7 linked regions of the Rattus norvegicus genome follow. The protein of the gene in region 4 interacts with the protein of the main gene of each other region in a pairwise test. Links are inferred from orthologs where the notes say so. Each region holds a gene or a part of one and is shown on either strand. Other genes may lie near its edges. The genes, in order: Abi2, Tssk1b, Sh2d3c, Efs, Sorbs2, Ostf1 and Trappc6a.

Region 1 (3,001 bases), on a different chromosome or scaffold from region 4:
TCCAAAGCATTTAGAAAAAAGTCTAAAAGTGTAATAGCTGATGTGCATGCAACGTGGTATTAAAACCAAAAAATCCTGCTCCTGGTGTAGGGTTCCTCCTTGTAGTCCTAATATTTGAGAGGCTAAGCAGAAGAGCACCGTGTCTGAAACAAACAAAACCTACAACCTTAAAGCAAAAAGGGTCTTGAGAAGGACACTGTTTGGGTCTGAGTTGCACAGTGAAGCCTCAGGCTCAGATAACAGATCTACGAGTGGAGTATTAGCTGCTGCCTTACAGCCTGCCTTTCTTCGCATCTACAACACTTGTTCTTCTAGCATCGCTAGACAGAATGTGCAAGGCCTGCATCTGAATCACAACAGCTTTGCTTCCTCTTCCTTTTCAGTAGATGAGGGGATGCCAATTGTTTCAAATACAGACTGGTTTTCATCAGTGTGACTGGGTAAGTATTTTATCCTATTAGTCTTTTCCAGTAAACTCTTTACTCTGACTCACAAGGTTCAGACTATTACGAGGAGTGCTACTTTAAAGTCTAATCACTTCAAATCAGGAGGATACTTATTTTTCTATAGCTGAGAGAAGAAAAATGGCTTGGCATCAGCTAACACTGCCATTGATAATGGTCCAAGAGCACAGTAGCAGCCTTTCATTCCCAGTCCAGTGACTGTCAGAGACTTGACAACTAGTCTCTTCTTAAAAGAGGTGGGGGGGGGGGGGTGTTTAAATATCAAAAGAACAGTAATAGCTGGTCTGATTTCCTAGGCTCTACTCTGAAACAGTGCCTCAAGGCTGGAGCTCCTTAGGAACCTTTGTGTCCAGCAAGCTCACCTCAGTACTTGAAGTACCTACCACATTTCACATCGGTTTTACTGGCTGCTATCAGCAATGCAGTCTCATGCAACAGTGCATTAAAATCAAACTGGTAACAACCCTGGGAATGTTTGGAGACTCACATTTTGTCATCCTTATAATCTACAAACAGGACAGGATGCAAGGGAGTTCGGGATTAACTCACCTAGCACTCCAGTGCTAAGAGAACACAGGATTTACAGTGTTAAAGAAGAAAAACAGCCTTTTTAAGCAATCCAAAAGTAGTTAAATAAAGTATTTAAACACTGGTTCCTTCCTCTCCATATACTGAAAGTAAAGGGCAAGGGTGTCCACCAGGCCATGAGGTTAGCCCCAAAGCAGAGGCAATGAGCATCCAATGTCACAGATTCTGCAGGAAGAGAAATCCAAGGGTGTACAGTATTCCTGAGAAGATCCCAGATTTTTTTCTCAAGTTAGTCTTGGTCCTATATATTTTAGCTATATGTTCATGTTGGTATGCCTTTCGTGACTGAGAAATGGCATTTTCAATCTAGATAGCATAATGCAAATGACCCAAGAAGTTCCACTTGTTCAGACTTGGCTTTCAGGTTTTGATACTAGGGGATAAACCAAAACAGTAATAAAAAGAGTAACTTTATCATTTGTATGCTTCATCTATTTCCTGGGAGGGAATTCCCAGGGCCTCTAGCTAATCTGGGAATACCTGACCTGAACAAGAAGCACGGCTGTGCTGGGCTTTACTCCGAATAATGCATGATGGACTCAACGTAATTCCCAGGGAAGAGCCCAGTCACTCCATTCATAACTCCCTCATACCAACCATCATCGTTCTTCTTGATGACATAGATAATGGCTCCTTCCTGAAAGGACAGCTCATCCTCCTTGTCTTTCGTATAATCATAGATTGCCACGACTAGGGGAGAAACAAAATAGGAAGTGAGCAACAATGCCATTTCTAGAAAGGTAAAGCCACTACGCGTTCATACACAGCAACTTCCTAGAGATGAACATTTGTACATGTTTTCTATCCAATAACTAGTTTAACACAATTGAATGTCCTTTCCTTTAAAAAAAGGTTCTAAATCCAATATAAATGGCAATCAAGTAAAAAAAAGAAAGTCATCTTTAGTTAACTCCAGAGAAAAAGCATTCTAAGGAACATGAAAGACAGTAATTCGTTTCAACTTACACTGAGGCACCATACTGTGTAAACAAATGCTCGTACTTAAACACTATTGTTATGAGATACGCTGTGATACAACTGAGAAGTCAGACAGACTAAAAAACAGCATTGCTCCTTTTTTGGACTCTGCCTATCAGTGAAGACTGAATTCCTACAAGCTAATCCACTATACATATACTTTCAAAACATATACTGCATTATGTTACCAACTCAATACATCCATAATAAAGTTAAAAGAACCAAGACACCTGGTTAAATTCTTTTGTAATTTTTATTGGTTTAAATAGGCCTCTGAACCTTTGATAATCTCTGGTTCCTAACATCACATCTACCCTCAAGAATTTTAATAAAATCAGGTAACTCATAACTTAACTCACATTCACCTAAGACTTAAGACTTTGTTCCAAACTCCAGCATTTTAATTGAGAACTATTCCAGCTCTTTTTCTAAGCATACACTGTAATTGTCTTAAAACTAAAGGGCTGAAATATAACCCAGCAGCAGAGCCATGAGCCCTATGTTTCTGAACCACTTTAGTAAAAAAAAAAAAAAAAAAAAAAAAAAAAAAAAAGTGGCATCTCTCATACGTAATTATCTTCTATTATTGGGATACAATAAGGATATCAGAAACCTAATTTAGAAGAGTCAGGGTGTGTTTCTCTACCTAAATACAATTCAGTGTAATTATATGACAAATTTAAGAATTAGTGTTTCCCGTCAATCTGTATTTTCTTCAAGAAAAAGCAAAAGTAATGCAGAATAACTATCTTTATATTGGTAACAACACAGTAATTTAGTGGACAACTTTAGTAAACTCAGGATGATCTATTCTCTTTAAAATATAGATATTGGGAGTTGCAGATTTAGCTTAATGGTTCAGTCCACAGTGGAAGGAAGGAAGGAAGGAAGGAAGGAAGGAAGGAAGGAAGGAAGGAAGGAAGGAAGGAAGGGGAGGGGAGGGGAGGGGAGGGGAGGGGGGCAGGCAGGCA
Region 2 (3,325 bases), on a different chromosome or scaffold from region 4:
GTGTCCTAGGCTGGACTGCTAAGCAAGTCCCAAGAGGGACTATAGGGCTGGTCAGTATGCCTTCTGTACTCTCCCCAGCCCTCAGGCATGGTCATGCAGCCTGCAGCCCTGGGATAGTGTTAAAACACCTGCCTGACCCTGAGCCCCTGATGCAGGAAGCCAGCTCTCCTGGTGCAAGACAGGGCTTTGGCTTCCAGCCCTCCTTCTTCTACAGGCAGTCATGTTCATCCTTGGGCTAGCCTCCCATTGTCTTCTCTCCACCCTTCTTTGCACTCCTCAGCCTCCCTCTGGAAGTTATCTTCTTCTTATCTTCCGTGGGCTCTGCTCCTCCAAATGCCCCCCCTCCCCCAACCAGCCTTTCACTGGTACAACTGCCTCACCTCGGCCTAAGGACACAGTCTGGGCTTGGGGCGCAGGAATGGACTTCCCTATGAGTGACGATTTGCAGTCTCACAGGAAGACAAGGGGAGCCCAGGACTACAGTGATCTGGGTAAAGACATTCACCTGAGGGTGTGCACCCATATAGTGGTTTATTGCTTCTTTAGCCATGTGAGTTACCAAGTTCAAAGGAGGGGGAGAAGAAAGTGACGAAAATAGCTCATCCGGGAGTGTCTTCCTTCTCTCTCTCGTCCCTTGACTTCTAGGCTCAGGCTTCAAGCCATGAGCTCTGCCTCCTTCCCTGCTGGCCCCCTGGGCTGCAAGAGGCTCACTAAGTATGTGTCTCTGAAGGCTGTTGGGGATGCCCTTCCTCTGTGGCCCTGTTCAGTTCGCTGCTGAGGCCCACGTTCTCTGACTGCCTGGCCACCTGCACATTATCTTCCTGGGGTTTTGTCTCAGATTGGGCCTCAGCTCGTGCCTCTTCCTTAGGCTCCAACTTGGTGGCAGACTTCTTATCAGCACCAGGTTCAGGGGTCCATGAGGGCTCAGCGGCCCGGGAGCTTTCCCCTTCCTTGTTGATGGCTCCAGAGGACAGACCTCGAGTCTTGGGCTGCACCCAGCAGTGGCTGAGGATCTCATCAATGTGCAGCCTCCGGTTGACATCTGGCTGCAACATTCGGTAGATGAGGTCCTTGCACTCACCAGTCAGGTGTTTGGAGCGTGGGAAGTTGACGCGGTGCTCCTTCTGGATGCGCAGCATCTTTTTGATGTTGGAGTCATCGTAGGGCATGGAGCCACAGACCATGATGTAGAGGATCACACCCAGGCTCCAGATGTCATACACCTTGGGCTGGTAGGGGATGCCCTGCAGCACCTCGGGGGCCGCATAAGCTGCTGACCCACAGAAGGTCTTGCTTAATGTCAGCCGACCACTATCATCCCGCAAGCAGCGCTTGGAGAAGCCAAAGTCAGACAGTTTGATGTTGAAGTCCTTGTCAAGCAGAAGGTTCTCACACTTGAGGTCTCGGTGGACGACATCCAGGTCGTGGCAGTACTTGATGGCCGAGGAGAGCTGGTGGAACTTCTTTCGAGCATCATCCTCTTGCAGGGCTCCTCTGGTTTTGATGAATTCAAGGAGGTCACCCTGGACCCCAAGCTCCATGACAATGTAGACCTTGCCATCTGACGTCTCAAAGATCTCATAGGTCTTGACAATAGAGCGGTGGTTTAGCATGGCCAGAATCTCAATCTCCCGGGGAAGGAATTTCTCCAGGAAGTCCGTGGGGGCTTTCTTGCGGTCGATGATCTTGACCGCCACGTTGAACTTTAGGCGCTCAGAGTAAGCGGATTTGACTTTGGCATACGAGCCCTCTCCTAAGTTTATCCCCATGATGTAGCCTCGTCGCTTGAGGACGGCTGCGTCATCCATGGTGCCGGGAGTGCCCAGTGCCTCTGAGGCTGCCCTCTACATCCCTGCCAGACATGGGCCAGCAGTGTTTTCATTTATACTGTGGACAGAGAGTCCTCTGAGCTGGCCAGGCCTGCTGTCCCTGCCTCCTAAGAGGCCCAAGACTCTAACATGGAACTTTCAGCGCCGTCTCCCGGGTGACTTCAGTGGGTGAAGTCACAAAGGAGTAATGCCCAGGGGGAAATGCAGCTATTGCCTGGGGTGCTTTGACTTCGAACCTGGAAGGTCTGCCACTCTACTGGAGCAGACTAAAAGTGAACAAAATGGTTTATGCTTGGCTCTGGCCTGAGGTAAGGGGGTTCATCTTTTAAAAGACCACTTTTAAATTTTTGGGGCCCTGAGACAGACCTGACCTACAGCTGTGAAGATCCTTCGAGTTCTTTATCTCCTGGCCCAGGGGTGGTGGTGGTGGTGGTGGTGGTGGTTGGTGGGTTAGGGAGTTAACACTGTGCTTTCACCGTACCGTTCGGCCAGACTTCTTACTTCCTGTCCTGCTCTTTTCTCTTCCTAACCTTTCCTGGACTCTTAACGGTGGCTCTGCAGGTGGACAGTTGGCAGGAAGTCTGCATTTGGCTGAGTTCCCTCCAAAGGACCTGCCCAACTCCTAGCTCTGAGTGAGCTCCCAGGGCAGATTGCAGTGGTGGTGGGTATGGGGGCAGAAGGCTAAGCCTGGATCTTGTACTGAGTGCCGGGAACGTGTCATAAAACTCTCCAAGTGCCAAGGTAGTACTGGACAGGTACCTCTGCTGCTGTCAGCAAGGAGCTCCCTTTCTGTTGTGACAAGACCTATATCCAACGCCTTGGGCCAAGACCTGGGAAAGTTGGAATATCTGATGGTTCGACCTTGGCTTTATCCACCTATAAGAGTTAGCATCTTTCACTCGCACAGTTCCACGGTTCTATCATTGGTTGGAATCCTGGGCCTTTGGTGGAGGGGCAATAGTGAGTTAGGTATGCTGGAGCTGACTGACCTTACCCCCTTTTCACTTCCTTCCCCTGAACAGATTGGTCCTTCATTTGCTGTCTGTCCTTCCAGGTACATGCTGTTCATGAAGGCAGGTGTGAGTTTAACACGAGGAGCCTTGTTCCCAGGCTTTAGTCTGGTCTCTGCCTGGGCTTTTATCTTCATTGTATAGGCAGCTCCTTCCCTAGATCGGGTCCAGAGACTATGGGCTTCTCTTGTTATTCTGACATCCCTTAAACCATTTCCTCCTCTGTTGTATTCTTTGTGTTGTATTCTTTCCCATCCACAGAGCCTGCTGGTCCTTTATTTTCACTAGAGCTCTTCACTGTCTTCACAGCGGTTCCGCGTTTAGAAGACCACTTTAGGGAATGTGTTGGCACTGGGACAGACCTGGGCTTCCAGGAATAAAGATCATTCAAGTCCAGCTATACTTCTTTGATTCTCTAATCCCCGATCTCCACTCCTACCCACCCCAGCCCTGGCGCCAACACTGTCAGTCCCGGTGACCCTACCA
Region 3 (2,683 bases), on a different chromosome or scaffold from region 4:
TTGTGTGGCTCTTTTGCCCGCACAACACATGTGCGCCCAGTACCCAAGGAGGTCAGAAGAAGCCATACGATCCCTTGGCACTGGAGATACAGATTATGAACCACCATATGAGTGCTTGGATTGACCCTGAGTCCTCTGCACGAGCAGCCAGTACTCTTAGCCACTGAGCCATCTCTCTAGGACTCTAGACTTTTAAAAGCCTTTTTATCCCAAACTCTGGATTTCTTGCCTGTGGATGGGGTGGGGGTGGGGAACTATGATTTTTCTGGACGGACCCTGGGCTCAGAGAAGACTAAGGTGTGGGCCCTACTTGCGCTGTCTTGGACTGACAGTCTCCCCTGAGCTCATGGCAGTAAGGGAGGGGCACCTGTCTGCTCTAAAACTGGTTCCCCGTATCATCTGGAAAGTCTTTGGTACTAACCAGGTATTTGCTGATGTCTTGGACCACTCACCTGAGGAAAGTGCTTCTTTCTACTATCCAGGCCTCACGGGACAGAGGAAAGAGTCATTAAAGTTTATTATATGAAAGAGATCATGGCTTCTGTACATACATGTACACCAGGCTTATTTACAGTAAGATAGAGGCCGTGGCACCTCTAGGCATAGATGCCGGGAGGAAGGAAGAGGGGTGGGGAGCCTCCCATGGCTCAAAAACAGGGAACCTCGGCAAAATGGGAGCCAGCGAAAGCCGAAAGCCGGCGGGAGGAGAAGAGGTTCCTGTCCCTTTGGAAGGGAGACTTGGTGCACGTGTGGTGGAAGAGTGGAGCTCAGAGTCCATTCAAGACCCTGGAAGTGCAAGAGAGATCCTGGATTTGAACCCAGAACATTCTTGGGCTGGTCACAGTGTCCCTGTGGTGCTCTGGAGGAAATGTCCTGAGCCCCTCTGCCCCCGATGCTGTCAGCAGCTGCAGAGAGGCAAGATCTCCGGGGTCACAGTTCACTAGAGCGGATGGCAGGTTCCAGCTTGTGGGACAAGGCAGTGAGGACTTTGTCAAACTTCTCATAGCGCCAGGCCTGGCTGCTGTTGGCACCCTGGCTGCCCCAGAGGAGACGCATCTGGAACTCTGTGCTGAACACTTCCAGGAGCTCCGGTCGGGCCTGGAACCCTGCAGGGTGGGAAGACAGACGAGCTTAGGAATCTCTCCACATCCTACAGGGCCCGCTCACAGAGATCTTTCCCTAACCCCACAGGGACCCAACACAATGTTCTGAGGAACAAGACCTTGCAGGCAGCACTAGTCTTTCTTCATCTATCTGCAACCTAGGATTTTTTTAAGGAACAAGACAGTAATCTGTGCTTGTGCTTGTGGTGCCGACATGAGACACCCAGCTTTGTGTGTCTAGGCAGGGGCTCATTGCTCTCCTACCCCCTCAGCCCTTAAAACGTAAAATACTCCTGTAAATCTCAGGCGAGATCACAGAAGGTCTTTCTTATATTTCTCCGTAAATTTCCCTTTTTCTTAAAGAAAGACTATTCTAAAGTGCATATAATTCTCTTCTTTCTGAGGAAAAAAAAAGATGAAAAAGATAATACCAAGCTATTCAAACCATATATCTCTGGGCAAGTGAATAATTTTCTGAATTTTTTTCCATTATTATATTTTTTTCTTTTGAGACAGTCTCCCTATATAGCCCTGGCTGACTTGAAACTTCCTATGTAGACCAGGCTGGCCTCGAAGTCAGAGAACCGGCTGCATTCTGGCTGGCCTTGAATCCAGTACACAGCTGGGGATGATACTGAACTCTTGCTAACTCTGTCAGAGTGCTGGGACTGCAGAGGCTCACACTCCCAGTTTATGCGGTGTATGCAGTCCTGGGGATTAAGTCCAGGGCTTTGCCTGCTGGCCAAGCACCCTACCAACGAAGCCACATCCCCAGCCCTCCAGATTTTTCCTGGTTTGAATAATGCCTGACACAGTGGCCATCATGTGAAGTCGCTTTCTCTGCTCATTTCCCAGAATTCTGTTCCCCAACCCAGGCTCCCTGAAGACCAGGCCGACCTTTCTGCATGCTGGGCACTATGGAAAGACAGCTGCTCACTTCCGGGAGAACAGTGAGGTGCAGGTGGCTGAAGCACAAAGGTGGTCAGTGTCTCTCAGCCCACCTCACCTGATGCCATCGCTAACAACTGCCTACCAGTGACAAGACCGATGGGATAAAGGAGCCAGGAGTTGAGACAGAGGGGTGCAAGACGTCAGTGGATGCTTCAGAAGACGCTTAGGTAGAGGCAGATGGAGGGAAACTGGGTTTGGGACGGCAGGGTCCTCTGGACATGACAGCTACTCACCCTGCAGCTTGACTTCAGCGTTGGTGTGGTAGAGGCCCCCGTGGTGTGCCACAGTGCGGGCAGCCTCCAGGTGGGCTAGCACAACCTCCACACCATGTTCTGTGCTGCCCCAAGGTTCAGGGCCCTCGGCGGGGGCGGAGTCACACTCCAGCAGGGTAATGAAGGGCAGCACGTGTGGAAAGGTGGTGTTGCTCAATGGCGGGCCTTCTGTAGAGAGAGAGGCAGCAGGCTCTTAGACCTGAGGACCCTGCTACCCCACTACAACCACAGAGATGCCTGAGGCCCCAGGAAGACCACCAAGGTCACCTGGGGCCATCCCTTCTTCCCCTGGTGACCCGACCCTGCTTGTGACATACATGGCTACCCCTCATGGGACAAAAAGTCAAGCTATTATTC
Region 4 (4,300 bases):
ATCCCTGCACTTCTGAAGGCAGAAGGATCAGGGTTGGGCTATATAAAACTTTGCTTCAAAAAACAAAACAAAACAAAACAAAAGACAGAGAAAGGCCGGGAATCTGAGTACGTGACAGTGTAGCTCAGTGGTAGAACGCTTGCCTAGGATGTTTTGAGACATCGGGTTCAACCTCTAGTACTATAAAAAGCATCATCGTCATCAAATAACCAACCGAATGTCCAGCTGTAGGAGGATGCTGCTGGACTGTAAGGGAGGAAGAAGCTCCACTCACAGAGATGCTGTTCCTCTGGGACCGTTTTGTGCTAGGAAGCAAGTTGTGCAACCCTTGTGCTCCTTTCTTCTCCTCCTAAGCAACCAACTACCCTTCCTCCCTTCCTTCTTCAAGATGCTGGGGTCAGGGGCTGGAGAGATGGCTCAGCGGTTAAGAGCACCAACTGCTCTTCCAGAGGTCCTGAGTTCAATTCCCAGCAACCACATGGTGGCTCACAACCATCTGTAGTGGGATCCGATGCCCTCTTCTGGTGTGTCTGAAGACAGCTACAGTGTACTTATATATAATAAATGAATAAATCTTTAAAAAGAAAAAAAAGATGCTGGGGTCAAACTCAGGTCCCTTTGCAGCCAGGCAAACGTCGCCCTACATGCCTGGCCTTCGTCACACCATTTCTGATTATCACGAGACGTCTAAAAGCAGCACGTCTACAAGAAGAAAGCATGCTAAACAGACAATACAGATCACTGGCTGGCTCTGTACTCCACATGTGTGCACGTGCACGGGGAGGCCAGTGGTTGTTGGTGAGATCCTCCTTACTCATGCTCCATTGTTTTCCCTTTGAGAGACTCTCAACTTTGAGCTCACTGACTTAGCTAGCAGAGCTGGACGAGCCTCTGGAATCCTCGTTTCTCCCCTCACCCCCATTGCTGGGTGAGTACACTGCACGTGGCTCTTTATGTGGGTGCTGGGGGTCAAACTCAGATCCTTAATTTATGCAGCAAGTGCTTTACCAACCGAGCCATGTCCCCAACCCCTGCATCTTTCCTTCTGATTGAAAACTAGAAATTAGTATCCTGGATCTAGCCAGTGATCAAAGACAAAGTTGTAAGTGCAGGCGGACTTGGGGCTGAGTCCCTTTCTTGCTTGGATGGCTTTAAGGAGATTTTAAACATCTCTGTACTCTAGTTTTCTCCACTGTAGAGTTTCCTTATCTACAATTGTTGAATAACACGTCCTTTTAAGCTGCGTGAGACAGTGCATCAAAAGATTGTGACAAAGTTTAGTGCAGCGGCCAGGTGTGTAAACTGTAACTATTACTATTGTTATGATCCTGTGAGTTTCATTAGCATAAATACCCCTCACCCAAATACCTTCTGGACTTCAAAAGTGGCAGTAACACCAGGATCCTGGCAGCAGCTTTGGCACTCCCAAAGGTTCTGCCAGCAGAGGACTAAAAGGTTCTGTCTAAGGAATGGAAAACAGATCCACCCTCAAGGTGTGCTGTGGCTCTGGGCTTTTCTTTGACTTTTGTAACTTTTCTTCCCATAGCCAGAGTCCAGGAAAGCAGGGGGCAACCTGGCTTTCCCCTGGGAATCCCCAGCAAGGGCTGGGGAAGCTGAGAAGGAATGGATTTGCTGTACAGACTCCAAGACAAAGTAGAGGTGCGGCTGTACAGCCCCTCCCAGTATTAGGTTTGAATTTTATCCAATGGGGCCATGCTTTGCGCTTTGCCTAAACCCAGGCCAGAGCTGCTGATAGGATGATGGATACTGGGTGTGATCACTCCTGCTTTACCTCCTCCTAGGGGCCCAGCTGACTTGTGAGGCAATGGCTGACTTATTCGGGGTGGCAGGGTGCCACTGCACTTTCTGGTAGGCCTCCTCCCACAATTCCAACAAGCCAACTGTCCCTGTCTTTTGTCCCCAGTCACCGGAAAGTGACCCGAGGCAGGCTGATATCATCTCTCCTCCTCTGTATTATTTTCCCCTGCCTGTTCACGTGCCTGTGTCTCCATTTCCCCCAATCCTTTAGAGTTGGGCTTCCTTGGCCTTCCATTTTCCTTGGGCTTCCTGGTCTTTGTCAGAAAACTCCTTTTACGTACCTCCCAATTACAAGCCCCTGCCAACCCCCAGTGGGCATCTGTTTCCACCCAGCAAGAGCAGATAGGATGGGGTTACACTCCGCCCTCGCCCTCCCCCCACCCCCATTTATCCACAGCCACTATAAAGAAAGAAACTAGAGAGAGAGGAGGAGGGGCCAACCCAGAACCAGAAGGCACACGGGGCGAGGACTGAGACGGAGAAAGGAACAAAAGAGAGAGGGCACAGCTTGTGGGAGAGGAGATCAGAGTGGGTAGAAATAAACGCGACAGTAAAGCAGGTTGGAGGTCTCAGCCTGGCAAGCCTCCTTTCCCTGGTGAACTCACCGACGTGGCAATGGCCATGGCTCTGGCCTCCAGGGTCGCCTGCTTCAGGCTAGGCTCAGTTTCTCTGACCTCAGCGATGGGTGCCCCACACCATGGTTCCCGGCCTCCAAGCCAGAAGGTCACCCCAAGCTGTAGCGCTTGAGGAGATGCCTCCCCCAAAGTTGGAGGAAGAGAAAGAAAACCCACAAAACTTTCCAAATAGGAGGCAGCTTGGCCAAGCAGGAGGAGGAGTAGGGCGGGCCTGGGCGTCGCTGCGGGACCTCATCCAAGGGGCGCGCTCTAAACTGTCCCCAGGGTCTTTCGGGGCTGCAGGCCCCCACAGCTGCTGCCTCAAGTCGCAAAGGCCTCCTGAACACACATGGGGTAAAGCTCACTTCCCAGCCTAAGAGACAGGAGCTGTGGCTGCTTTCGACGCCTCTCCAGGCAGCTCAGGCTAACCCCGAGGGCTGGGAGAAGCCGCCTGAGTGGTTAAGCTGGACGAGCGACTCTAGGGGCCAACCCTCCCCCAGCGGCGCAGAGCTGTGCTCCCAGGGCTGTGGTCCTGGCAGCCGGGGCACTGCGGCGGGACCCGCGGGGAAGGAGGAGGAGCGACAACTGAACCGAGTGTCGCCAAACTCGCTCAAGTCAGCGCAAAGGCCGGAGCCAAAGGCCTAAGAGCGCGTGGCGGTGGAGCTGGGCCGTCTGCCCAGGCCCCCGCCGAGGCGGGCTCTCCCCGCCACACTGCTCAGCACAGCCAGGTCTTGGAGGTGGCCGCGAGGCACCTCTGGGTCTCAGCGCTCAAGGGCGCGCACCACCCTCTGCCCCGGGCACCCCACTGACCGAAGTCCCCGTTCACACACCCTGGACCCGGCGCTCGGCGAGTCCCAAAGCTTGGGGAAGCTCCAGGTGTATTGGGGAACGAAGAAAAAGGCCACAGAGCAAAGGGAACAGAGAAGGGGAAGGGCAGTTCTATGGGCTTGCCTAGGGTCGAGGTGGGGACACTGAAGGTTAGAAAAGGTCCGGGGTCGCTCGTGGCCCCCGCTCACCCCTTGTACTCGGCGCCCCTTTCCCTCCCCTGCCCGAGCTCCGGCTCCCCGCAGCAAGCTCTTTCCCCTCCCCTCGGGCCCACTCCTCTCGCGAGGGGCTCAGTCCAGGGGATTAAGAGAAGGGGGAGGAGGAAGGGGGAAGGGGAAGCTGCAGAGAAAGGGGACGATCCTTCCCGAGGCGGTGTTGAGTTTCAGCTCCCCACCCTAGGGCCAAACTGCGCGCCCCAGCCCGGCCCCTCTCCCCCGAACCTTCCTCCTCGGGACCGCGCGGCAGACCGCGGGGTGGTCTGGTCTGCGCGCTCTGGAGAGCTCCGCTCTGGCCGCCACGCCCCCGCTCTCCCCCGCCAGCCCCACGCCTCTCCCTGCCTCCCTTTCATTAGCCCCACATCTGTCTTTCCCGAGGGAGGGGACGCGCTGCTTCCGCCGCGCCAGGGTCCTGGAGGTTTCACCACGCTGACTTTGCAGGGGGCAGCGGGAGTGAGCCGGGGAGATCCAGAGGGTCACTGGCTTGGAGTCTGGTGTTGAACAAAGATTCTGGCCCTTGGGAGAGAGCGAGAAGCCTTAGCGTCTAACTCCAGATCCCAGGCTGGCCGATTGCACCGCCTTTTCGCCTCCTTTGCCAGTCCGGGCCTGTCTCTCTTTTAAGGCTTGGCCCTCGCTGCTCCTGGAGCAGTTGGAGGAGAGACCGTGGGCAGAGAGGACAGAACTCTTTCAGAGGGACCGGAATCGGGAGTTTTAGCTGAACCCCAGCTCCTTGCTTTCTATACTCTTCCTGCCAGCCTTTCTACAGTCGCTCTCTTCTCTGGCCTTTACTTCGAGAAGGTGTACATCAGAGCTTCTTAGAGGGAGATC
Region 5 (3,500 bases), on a different chromosome or scaffold from region 4:
CCATAGTATCTACTGCTGACTTCACTGTTACTGTCCCCATGTCACCTCTATTCTTGTTAAAGGGCCAAAGAGCAAAAACTTTAAAAGAGACTTGATAATACTAAAATTAAATGACACTTGACAATACTAAAATTAAATGTTAATTTTGATTAAGGAGTACCTATATCACAAAACTTACTTATAGTACAAAGTTAAAGTTATTTCATATTAAAAAAATTAGAATTAGATTCTGTTGTAGAAAATAAGAAATAATACTAATTTTATTTGAGTCTTTTTCAAAATAGAAATACATCAAGCTATGTGATTTGAATTTGCCAAAGAATGATTCAAGAATTATTAATGCATTCTTTTCTCTATTTGTAAATATCAATAAGAAAATAGGATGTCTATCTTTTTTTCTGCTTTTGTATTTCTCATTGTTTAAAAATACATATTTTTTTCCCTGAAATTGACTAGCACAACACTACAGGAATTTCTTCTTTCATTAAGCCAATGGCATCACAGGATAGCTGCCAGTTGAAATGAAACTAGAATTTCTTTCAAATTATGGACATAAAGATTTTTTTTTCAGCAGTAAGAACAAGATAATTGATTACTGGTGAACCTTGTACATTCCTCTATTAAAATGTGGTATTTGTACATCCTTCTATGTAAAATGCAGTATTGTAATACAAACCATGAATGCCATTTAAAACATATTCAGGAAAATGACAAAAACCCTGATTTAAAATATTAGCTTGCCATTGTTAATTAGACCACATGGGAGAAGCCCTTTAGTATGTAAGCATTTATAGATACAAACTTTTCTCTTCTGCATCCATTCATTTAAAGGTTCGGTCATGTGAGGGTCATCTATGAGTTCTCTTAAGATAAATGGATGGTAGGTAAAACTTATATGGATGGATGAAGATTCTTTTCCATTCTCAACAGAAACTACTGAAGGAAGGATATCGACTTTTAAATGTTAAATTCTGGAAACTTCATAATCAAACTGGGGCAGAGTGCTCAGTTATCCGGTGAGAGAGAATGCATGATAACTGCCCATGACTAAAATCTAGCTTTTTTGAAGAGGACTAGAATTAGTAAGATGCCAAACCTTAGTCTTTTTAAAGGAAAATATCTCAATTGAGATGGATTCCTAGGTTATTTACTTAGATGGAGGTGGTTTGGGCTTCTAGGGACGCTGTCTGAAAATAACTTTGACTTCATATTCCACATCCTTGCCCCGAGCTCAACAATTAACATAACATACAACCAAATACATCACTTTTATTGTTGGGAGGCATTTGACAATATTTTGGAAATAATTTCACTGGTGCTTTACATTTTCGTATTTTAAAATAATAATTTCGTATTTTACGAACTATAGAAATGATCCCTGAAAGTATAGTCTTTAATTTCGTATTTTAAAAGGAGAAAGAAACCCCTACATACATCCATAAGATATCTGCCAATTCAACAGAAAAGTGAGGGAGAAATTTTGGGGACAAAGGAAGTTTGAGGATAGGCTTGATCTGATGGACCAATTCAGGAGGGAAAGTCCTTTCTAGATTGTATTGAGAAAAATAATCATTTTCAGCTTAGCTACCTAAGTTAAGCTACCAGCTTAGGAGAAACAGTGGAATTTGTGGCTTCCAAAATAATAAAAAAAAATTGGGTACTTCTAATTATTATATTTAAACTAATAATGGAATTAAAGGTCCTAAATTAAATATAATGCCTTAGGCTGTCTATGAAGAAAATACCTTAAGATTTTCATAGAATGTTATATACTTAGTAATTATATAATGATTATATATTCTATATATGCATAAATCTGTATGTGTGTAATTTATATACATGGAAATACAGAGATGTATCAAGGAAGGTTGATGATACTAATGCTTTCTCTCTTTAACTTGAAAATGGAATTAACAGAAATGAACATTTAACTTTTCATACCCGCATCTACTTGAGGAAAATTAACTTTATATTTTCTAACCTGCAGCTCAAGTATATGAATACATGAATTTGTTTCTTTTCAGTAGATATGATGGTCTGATATCCCCCAAATCGCTTACGAGCATCACATTGAGACCCCAAGCACAGAGGTAACATGATGGAATGGCTTCTTACCTTATTGGAGCTTAGGCTGTAAATTCTATCACTGGAGTAGCTGTGGGGTAGAGGAGGGTCGGGGTAATCCTCAGAACCTTTCGTGTTCCTCTTGACAACTTCTACGTAGGAGACAGGGAAGATGCCTTGTCTGTTGGTTCCTGGGATTTTACCTTCATACCAGTTTTGATCAACTCTTTTGAGAAGAATAATCCTGTCACCCTGGAATGAGCATTGGGGAAATGCATTATAAGTAGAGATACAATGATGTTAAAAAATGCAACTGCCACTGCCTTCTAGTAAGACGGTAGTTTTCTATTTGGAAAAGTTTTATGCCTGTAGCTTTTGCCTGGTCAGAAGAATGTGAGCAAGGTCCCAGTGTTCATTAGAAAAGCATAGGTTGTCAGCAAAGATCTAGGCTAACCTTCCATTCATGACGTTAGAGCCCTAAGGATCATGGGAATGGGCTTATGCATGTTTCATGCTGGTTCAGAGTAAAATGACTTGTGGAAGTTATTTCAAAAGGCAAATGGTATGAAAGGTGCCGTATCAATGGCAGGACCTCATCGAGTCTCTACTAGAATCATTGTGAGGACACGCACAAAGAAGAAATGGTGTCTGAAATGGGTCACAGACGCCATCTTCTGGAAGGCACAATGGTGGATGGCATGCTGTCTTCCTTCTGCAATCTGCATGTCCTGAGATGTGACAGAGCGAATGAAAAGGATGAGGCAAAGATGCCACTCTCGAACATCCCTCGCTGTGGAGAGGGCTCGTGTCCCTCTGGGTCTGATCAGGTTTAACACCAGCACCCCTTCATTCTGCCCACTAAGCATTTGAGTAGAATCCTCAGCTTTTGCAATAGTAGACATCTCTATGATCACTATTATGCTTCCTTCAGCGAGCAGGCCAAAGTTAGATAACATAATTTGACTCCTTACTAAAAGCCATATGTGGGCCAGAACCAAATCAGCAAGCTGATGTTAAAGGGCAAACCCAGCAGGTGCAGCTAGAAGGAGCTATAAACTGTGGGGGACAGGATCTGATAGTCACGGTGGTGACATCTACTGATCAGATTCAGCACAGCAGGGAGCCCCTTCCAGTGCCAGTGCCTTGAAGGTTCTCTTTAACTCAAAGTGCCGGATGGTTTGTTAAAGTGCCTCATCACCACAGAGCAGAACATACTGAAGCATAGGGAGTCTCCCCAAATAGCACGGATTTTCTCATGCGCCCAGAACAGGCAGTTGGGAGTTAGGCTTTCTGGGGTTATCTCATACAATGACCAATCTTTAAAGCATGGGACAGAAGATGGATGGTACACTGTGCAATGCTGTGTGGCATTCTGGGTAAGTGGTGCACAAGGAAGGGAAGAGAGAATTGCCAATGATGCAGAACTAGGGATGGAA
Region 6 (3,926 bases), on a different chromosome or scaffold from region 4:
TGTAGTAGGCTATACTCATGAACTGTGCGCCAAAAGAAATCCTGAATCATTTAAATTGCAGCAGAAAAAAAAAGATAAGTAAGACCTGCCTCTAGGCTCTTACAGTAAGTCCTCTGACCCTCGCTGTCCCTTCATCTGGCTCCTGTCTTTCCAGTGCTGCCCATTAAATTAGAAGCCATGTTGTCTTACTCTGCTACTACGGAAACCCTGTCCAACACAGGAAGAGAATCTCTGGGAACTCTTGTCCCAGATCTCAGTGCCATTAAAGTAACTATTTCCCAGAATAAAGAACACATGTTAATTTCCTGAGCACTACAGGCCTTATGGTTGGTCTTTCATCTGTCTGCATGAGGCTGAGAATCACGTGACCGCTCTTTTTGGTAACTTTACAGGAGTCTATGGCGTGCATGCCTACCAGCTTACTTCTCTTCTCGCTTACTTATTATTCTTCCCTCTCTGCCCCAAGCCTTTTTCTTTCCTCTCTTCCCCAACTCTGTTTGATAATTTGAATGTTTAGCATTATTTTGGAGAAGAGACATTTGGAGAGAGTATAAACAAAGCAATAGATGAAAAATTAAAACTTAAATACGTTCTCGTGGATGTCGGGCTTCTTTGGAGACCTTCATCCCCATGTCTTGCCTAGAGTAGCAGGAAAGAAAGCACAGTACACCTGCAGTGGGGATTCAGCACGGCTGTGCATAAGAGTCCGGCTGGGGTCAGAAACCTGGTTCTTTCAGAGTCCTATCCAGTTGTAAAATATTCAGGGCTCTTCACACAGGGGCAAAGCACAAATCCTGGAATCAAGCGTGTGTGTTGTACTCCTCGACGATTCATACATCACCACCCCACTGCTGTTAGGAGATGAGTTAACCTGCTGTGCCTTACTTCCCCCCCGCTAGACAATGGGAATAAAAATGGTGCTGACCTGGTAGGGTTACTGAGAAGGGAATGAGTTCAAACATGTATGGATGACTAGACCAGTGCCTAGCACCCAGTACATGTGGGGCAGTATGAAAATAAAGGTTTACATGTGGGACAGTATGAAAATAAAGGTTTCTGTTTTCCAGTAAGCCAGCACATTGCTTTAAGTTCGACTAACACTAATATTTCTCTCTTTCTGTTACTAGGTAAATAAAGTGATTTTCATGGCAACCCTATTTATGTATGTTTGGGCCTCACTTATAAATCCCAGTGAAGTCAGAGTTCTCTCTAAATAGTACAAATGTTTAGCCATGTGTTTTCTGGTTTGCTGGAGAGGAAAGGGCAGATATGTAAACAACAAAACTAGTTTCCAGAGCCAATCTCCACTTCGTAACAGGCTGAGTCCTAAACCACACCCAAAGGTGCATGAACACACAAGCTCACAATCACGTACACAAAGGCAGACTCCTGCCAGCACCCACAGACCCAACACTGACTTCACTTTTAATGTGTCTGGAGGAATGAAAAAACCTCACGGCCTGATTGTCTAACACATTCTTCAAAATCAAGTGCTTTGTTTAGCCATCAAAGAACTCAGCTTAGTTGGACACTTGAGGTCCTGACTTACATATGAGTTTACAAAACTGCCACCTCATACATCCGCATCTAAATTGCAAATTGCAAACTTCTCAGATTTCACATAGAAGGCAGCCTCAACCAGCACCACCCAGCCTCGGCTCAGGCCAAAGCCAGACTGAGCCACTTCCTTCATATGCGGCCCTGAAGAATTTATGTCGACAGAGAATGCCTATTTCGCAAATGTGTGTGCATTATTTTCAGATTCAGGAGTTGATGCTGCTACAAAAGAAGAAAACTGGATAATTATTGAAGTTTAAGTGACTGTCACTTTAATAAAAAAAAAACTCAAGGAAAAAAAATCACTGAAGCAGCATAAGCGGCTATAAAGGTTGATAGTATATGGCTCAAGTTTCAGCCTTTGTAATACCAAAGCTGCAGGAGACTGGAAAAAAGAGGGCTGGGAATTCGTCAATCATTCATCTCCTATTTTCTACGATTCCTGTTAGTTCCCTATCCAAATGAAAGTTCCCACGAGTTTATTTTGTCAAGCTGACATATAACAGTCCCTTAAAATGCTCTCGTTTCTCCACATCACAGAAACTACTCTAAGAACGACGTTTTAAAAAAGCGAACCAGGAAGAGTGGCCAAGAAAACTGTTTTGAGGAACTTCGTACTCTCTCCAGTTTAGTTCGCCCGAGTCACCCTAAGCAAAACACTTGCATGCAAGACAGAGCGTTACGTCCTAAAGCTAGGAGCCGAGAGGGTTGCAGCCCAGCTGTCCGGTTGGCAGTGCCAGTGTAGCTCTCCAAAGCTCTCTGGAAACCTCGGGTCCCCGTTCCGCTCCAGTCCGAGCCCCGCAGCTGGAGGGTGCAAACCCCACCCAGCCGTAGCGCACTTCCCGTTCGCCAGCCGGTCAAGAACTCCAACTTGACAGCGACACGCCGAAATATGAGGAAGTGGCCGCGACCTAGGTGCTGCCACCACACCGCCAGAACGTCCTGGCGAGCAGTGCATACAGAGTCCGAGGGCGCTCCTCGGGAACTCCGGCACGGGGTCCCGCAGCCTGGAGACCCGTACCCGCAGCGCGCAGAACTCTTACCTGGTTTGACCGGTTTGGGAGGTGGCTTGGACATGGCGCTACTCGGAGCGGCCAGGCTCAGCCGCGGGAGCCCCACACGCAGACAGGAACTGGGAGCCAAGCCTGCGCTAGCCGCGCCCGCTCCGGACCCGCGCGCAACCCGAAGCGGGACACCGGGACTAGCGAGCTCCGCAGACAGCCCAGCCTTCCCACCAGGAAGTGGCCGCGCCTCGCCGGCTGCTGATTGGCTACGGCAGGGAGTCCTCTGCGCCTCGGAGGTCCAGCCTGCCGCGGAGCGCCGGAGCCACGCCCTCCTCTTGGGGGAGGAGCCTTGCGGTAGCCACGCCCCAGGCCCTGCTTAGGGGAGGTTATGAAAGCCCACAGTGGGCTGTGCTGCTCAGGTGAGCAACCGGCAGTTGTGTGCTTGAAACCGTCTTGCAGCCTGCTCTGCGGCCCTGCTGGGGAGGATTCGAACCCGCTTTGGTGAGTACTCACTGCTCGCTGCGTACACACGCCGAGGCCTGGGAACCTTCCAGAGTCTCCTGCGCTGTACCTGGAACCTGACTGCCGCAAGGGAAACCGCGTTGGGATTCACGTTCCTAAAAAGCAATTAGCCACCGCTAAGTGTAGGAGACCTCACACTTGCTGGCAGGAGAATCGGGTCTTGATCCCCCACGGGGACAGGACAGTCTTTTCTGCAGCATCTGGTTAACAAACTCCAACCCAGGGGCTGGGGATTTAGCTCAGTGGTAGAGCGCTTACCTAGGAAGCGCAAGGCCCTGGGTTCGGTCCCCAGCTCCGGAAAAAAAAGAACCAAAAAAAAAAAAAAAAAAAAAAAAACTCCAACCCACTTGCTACCTGTCTTTGTAAAGGCTTCTAAGAATGCTTTTGGCGGTTTTTAAACAGCTAAGACAAAAGCATAGTATTTTGTGGTGTGTGGCACATGACAGTTAGGGGCAACTTAGATTTCCATAGACGCACCATGCTCGTTTGCATATGCATTGACTGTGGCCTCTTTCTCATTAACAGCTTCATTGTTGAATAGTTGCCCACAAAGCCAAAACTATGCTACTGACTGTTACTTCACACAAGTTGCCCAATCCTAACCTAACAGCTCCTCTCCTCAGAGTTTATGCTCACACATAAGTAAACTCATAGTGTTGCAGTCTTATACGCCTATTGTATTAGGGGAAATAAAAGTGAAAACATCGGTTATGTAAGAAACTACAGGGTCAGCAGCACCATGGTCCAACTGCCCTTGCTGCCAAACCTGTTGACCAGAGTTCAATCTCTAGCACCCACATGATGGAAAGAGAACTCCCACAAGTAGACCTAAGACCTGCACAT
Region 7 (2,208 bases), on a different chromosome or scaffold from region 4:
GGTTGTGAGCCACTGTGTGGGTGATGGGATGCGAACTTGGGTCCTCAGCAAGGGCAGCAAACACTCTTAACTTCTGACACACCTGTCCCACCCTGAGAGGTCTTGTCTTAGGGGTGGCGGATTGGAAGGAAGGCTCAGTAGTTAACAGCACTAACTGTTCTTGCAGAGGACTGGATTCAGTGCACATGCGCTTGAGCACAAGCGCACACAATTAAATTAACAGAAGAGCCAGCAGCCCTTGTTACTTCTCAGCCACCTCCATTTGTAGTCCCTGGGCCTGGTGCTTACCCATGCAGCAGTGGGCAGCAGAATGCAGGCTTAAGCCCAAGGGCAGCCCCGGATGCTACAAATACAATCAGAACGAGGTGGCGGGTGTGACCTGCTGGGCCGGGGGCAGCCCCAGACTTGTTGGCTGGCAAAGCCAGAGAGCTAGGCCAGGTGTGCCTAGAGCTCACAGGGTGGGTGTGGGTGGGGAGGGACGTGTGATAAGCACTACACAGGTCTGTTTCCTCATAAAGAACCTTTCTTTATTGAACATGTCTGGGAGATGCCCTAACGTCCCTCCATACCCACTCTGAACTCATGGGTCCCACCTCCCGGGACCCTCCTAGTCCTTTCCTTGGCGGAAGCACATGTGACCTCCCCAGAGCCTGTGAGTGCCTCCAAAGGTGAGCAGTGAGGCAGGGCCAGATGCCACATTCTGAGGCTGAGGTTAGAGCAGGGCAAACCTGGGGTCCTCAGGACTTCTGGATCACCACCTGGAACTTACCTGGAACAGAAGGGCCAAGACAGGAAGCCCGTGAGGGGGCTAGCAGCTCACCCGACTCTGCACCAACAGCCTGGGGGGCCCTGGCAGTGAGCGGGTCACAGGGGTACCGTCCCACCCAACTGGCCCGAATTCCAGACCATAGGGGAGCCCAGAGGCAGGAGGGCTAGCCTGAGCTCCTGACATGTCCTGCTCATTGAACCCAGGTCCTCATAGAGGGGTGACAGCTGTCAGGGCGAGGGGTGTCAAGATAATGGCAGATGGGTGGTGAGTCCACTGTTCCGAGCATCAGGAACCTGGCCAGGGTAGGACATGTCCCACTGGGTCCTGTGCCAGTTTCTTCTCTTAGAAGCACCCAGGGACGCAGCTGGGTATGTGGTTCCGTTCCTGTTACCTGTTTCTGGGCCTCAAATTTCATGTCACAGTTTGTTAATCTGGTTCCCCTTCCCAGCACTGATGAGGGACCAAAGATGGGGATGCCCCAAAGCCTGCACCACGTTTAAGGGAAGCAAACACCCGACCCCCAGTGACTTACAGGCGGGCAGGGACGCCACGGAGGCAGTGACCAGGCTCTGGAAGCCCAGAGTATGGAGGGCGCCGCACAGGAGGCCGCAGGTGAAGGCCAGGAACTGGGGTGGGGGTGGGGGACAGAACACTGTGTGTGGGAAGAGGAGAGGCCAGGCCCCAGCCCCAGGAGAGGCCTAGCGGGGTGGGCAGATGGTCATATCCTGTTTCTCCCAATACCTTGGGGGCTTCCTCTAGGTACTGTGGCCCCGAGCCCATGGGGATGAGGAGGGGGAAGCTGTTGTCCTGCAGCACATAGGTCCCCTGTCAACAGAAAAGAATGTGGGGACTGGGTATTAGCAGCAGGGAACCCACAAACCCAGCAGCCAATCCTTCCGAGACAGGTGGGACACCCTGTGGCCATGTGGCATTAGGAAGGAGTCCTGCCTGGCAGGGGGGCTGGGAGAAGCTGACTCTCTGGCCCTTGATGTGGTGGCAGGGAATGAGCACAGCGTGGGTATTCAAAGGGGACTACTGGGACTTGCCTGGGACAAGAACCGTCATGCTGAGGCCACTGCAGGGATCACTCCTGAGGGGCAGGTTGAAGTTGAAGAAATAGCCCTGCCACTCACTGCAGTCCTGGCTTCCCTTAGGGCTCCAAGGAGCAGGGGTAGACAGTGATACCAGTCTAGGTATCACCCAGAAGCCAGGCTGGAGCTGGGCTCGCACACCCACCTGGTGGTTGGTGCGGAGTCCGTCCATATGCTTTTGGAACATGGCCGCCCACAGATCTTTGCACAGGAACTTGAGGGCATCTAGCTCCTCCCTAACGGCCAGCGTCTCCCGGGGCAGCCTGGATGAGGATGTGGAATGAAGTCTGGCCCATATGGTACATGTGTGGGCCCATGAAACCTTCCCCACCCTCCGTCTTATCAGCA

What was found.
Region 1: the proteins of Efs (region 4) and Abi2 interact in binary tests that used the Homo sapiens proteins (3 or more experiments, as listed by UniProt). The link is inferred for Rattus norvegicus from reciprocal best matches to the Homo sapiens genes EFS and ABI2.
Region 2: the proteins of Efs (region 4) and Tssk1b interact in binary tests that used the Homo sapiens proteins (3 or more experiments, as listed by UniProt). The two-hybrid records come from large-scale screens. The link is inferred for Rattus norvegicus from reciprocal best matches to the Homo sapiens genes EFS and TSSK1B.
Region 3: the proteins of Efs (region 4) and Sh2d3c interact in a two-hybrid assay, tested with the Homo sapiens proteins (2 studies listed by BioGRID and IntAct). The two-hybrid records come from large-scale screens. The link is inferred for Rattus norvegicus from reciprocal best matches to the Homo sapiens genes EFS and SH2D3C.
Region 5: the proteins of Efs (region 4) and Sorbs2 interact in binary tests that used the Homo sapiens proteins (3 or more experiments, as listed by UniProt). The two-hybrid records come from large-scale screens. The link is inferred for Rattus norvegicus from reciprocal best matches to the Homo sapiens genes EFS and SORBS2.
Region 6: the proteins of Efs (region 4) and Ostf1 interact in binary tests that used the Homo sapiens proteins (3 or more experiments, as listed by UniProt). The two-hybrid records come from large-scale screens. The link is inferred for Rattus norvegicus from reciprocal best matches to the Homo sapiens genes EFS and OSTF1.
Region 7: the proteins of Efs (region 4) and Trappc6a interact in binary tests that used the Homo sapiens proteins (3 or more experiments, as listed by UniProt). The two-hybrid records come from large-scale screens. The link is inferred for Rattus norvegicus from reciprocal best matches to the Homo sapiens genes EFS and TRAPPC6A.

The regions. Positions count from the first base shown.
Region 1 is NC_086027.1:69,394,205-69,397,205, reverse strand, and holds part of Abi2 (abl interactor 2), read right to left. Parts: intron 1,743-3,001; coding exon 1,567-1,742; 3' UTR 1,218-1,566; coding exon of another isoform or gene 1,075-1,217; 3' UTR 1-1,074. UniProt on the Homo sapiens protein: Regulator of actin cytoskeleton dynamics underlying cell motility and adhesion. Functions as a component of the WAVE complex, which activates actin nucleating machinery Arp2/3 to drive lamellipodia formation.
Region 2 is NC_086029.1:96,594,716-96,598,040, forward strand, and holds Tssk1b (testis-specific serine/threonine-protein kinase 1), read right to left. Parts: upstream 1,925-3,325; 5' UTR 1,809-1,924; coding exon 711-1,808; 3' UTR 501-710; downstream 1-500. UniProt on the Homo sapiens protein: Testis-specific serine/threonine-protein kinase required during spermatid development. Phosphorylates 'Ser-288' of TSKS. Involved in the late stages of spermatogenesis, during the reconstruction of the cytoplasm.
Region 3 is NC_086021.1:36,442,009-36,444,691, reverse strand, and holds the end of Sh2d3c (SH2 domain-containing protein 3C), read right to left. Parts: intron 2,495-2,683; coding exon 2,288-2,494; intron 1,107-2,287; coding exon 931-1,106; 3' UTR 501-930; downstream 1-500. UniProt on the Homo sapiens protein: Acts as an adapter protein that mediates cell signaling pathways involved in cellular functions such as cell adhesion and migration, tissue organization, and the regulation of the immune response.
Region 4 is NC_086033.1:32,368,944-32,373,243, forward strand, and holds the start of Efs (embryonal Fyn-associated substrate), read right to left. Parts: upstream 2,801-4,300; 5' UTR 2,442-2,800; coding exon 2,424-2,441; intron 1-2,423. UniProt on the Homo sapiens protein: Docking protein which plays a central coordinating role for tyrosine-kinase-based signaling related to cell adhesion. May serve as an activator of SRC and a downstream effector. Interacts with the SH3 domain of FYN and with CRK, SRC, and YES.
Region 5 is NC_086034.1:53,187,984-53,191,483, forward strand, and holds part of Sorbs2 (sorbin and SH3 domain-containing protein 2), read right to left. Parts: intron 2,317-3,500; coding exon 2,116-2,316; intron 1-2,115. UniProt on the Homo sapiens protein: Adapter protein that plays a role in the assembling of signaling complexes, being a link between ABL kinases and actin cytoskeleton. Can form complex with ABL1 and CBL, thus promoting ubiquitination and degradation of ABL1.
Region 6 is NC_086019.1:225,473,052-225,476,977, forward strand, and holds the start of Ostf1 (osteoclast-stimulating factor 1), read right to left. Parts: upstream 2,801-3,926; 5' UTR 2,635-2,800; coding exon 2,601-2,634; intron 1-2,600.
Region 7 is NC_086019.1:88,291,786-88,293,993, reverse strand, and holds the end of Trappc6a (trafficking protein particle complex subunit 6A), read right to left. Parts: intron 2,124-2,208; coding exon 2,006-2,123; intron 1,595-2,005; coding exon 1,511-1,594; coding exon of another isoform or gene 1,396-1,510; coding exon 1,302-1,395; coding exon of another isoform or gene 1,186-1,301; exon of another isoform or gene 770-1,185; coding exon 738-769; 3' UTR 501-737; downstream 1-500. UniProt on the Homo sapiens protein: May play a role in vesicular transport during the biogenesis of melanosomes.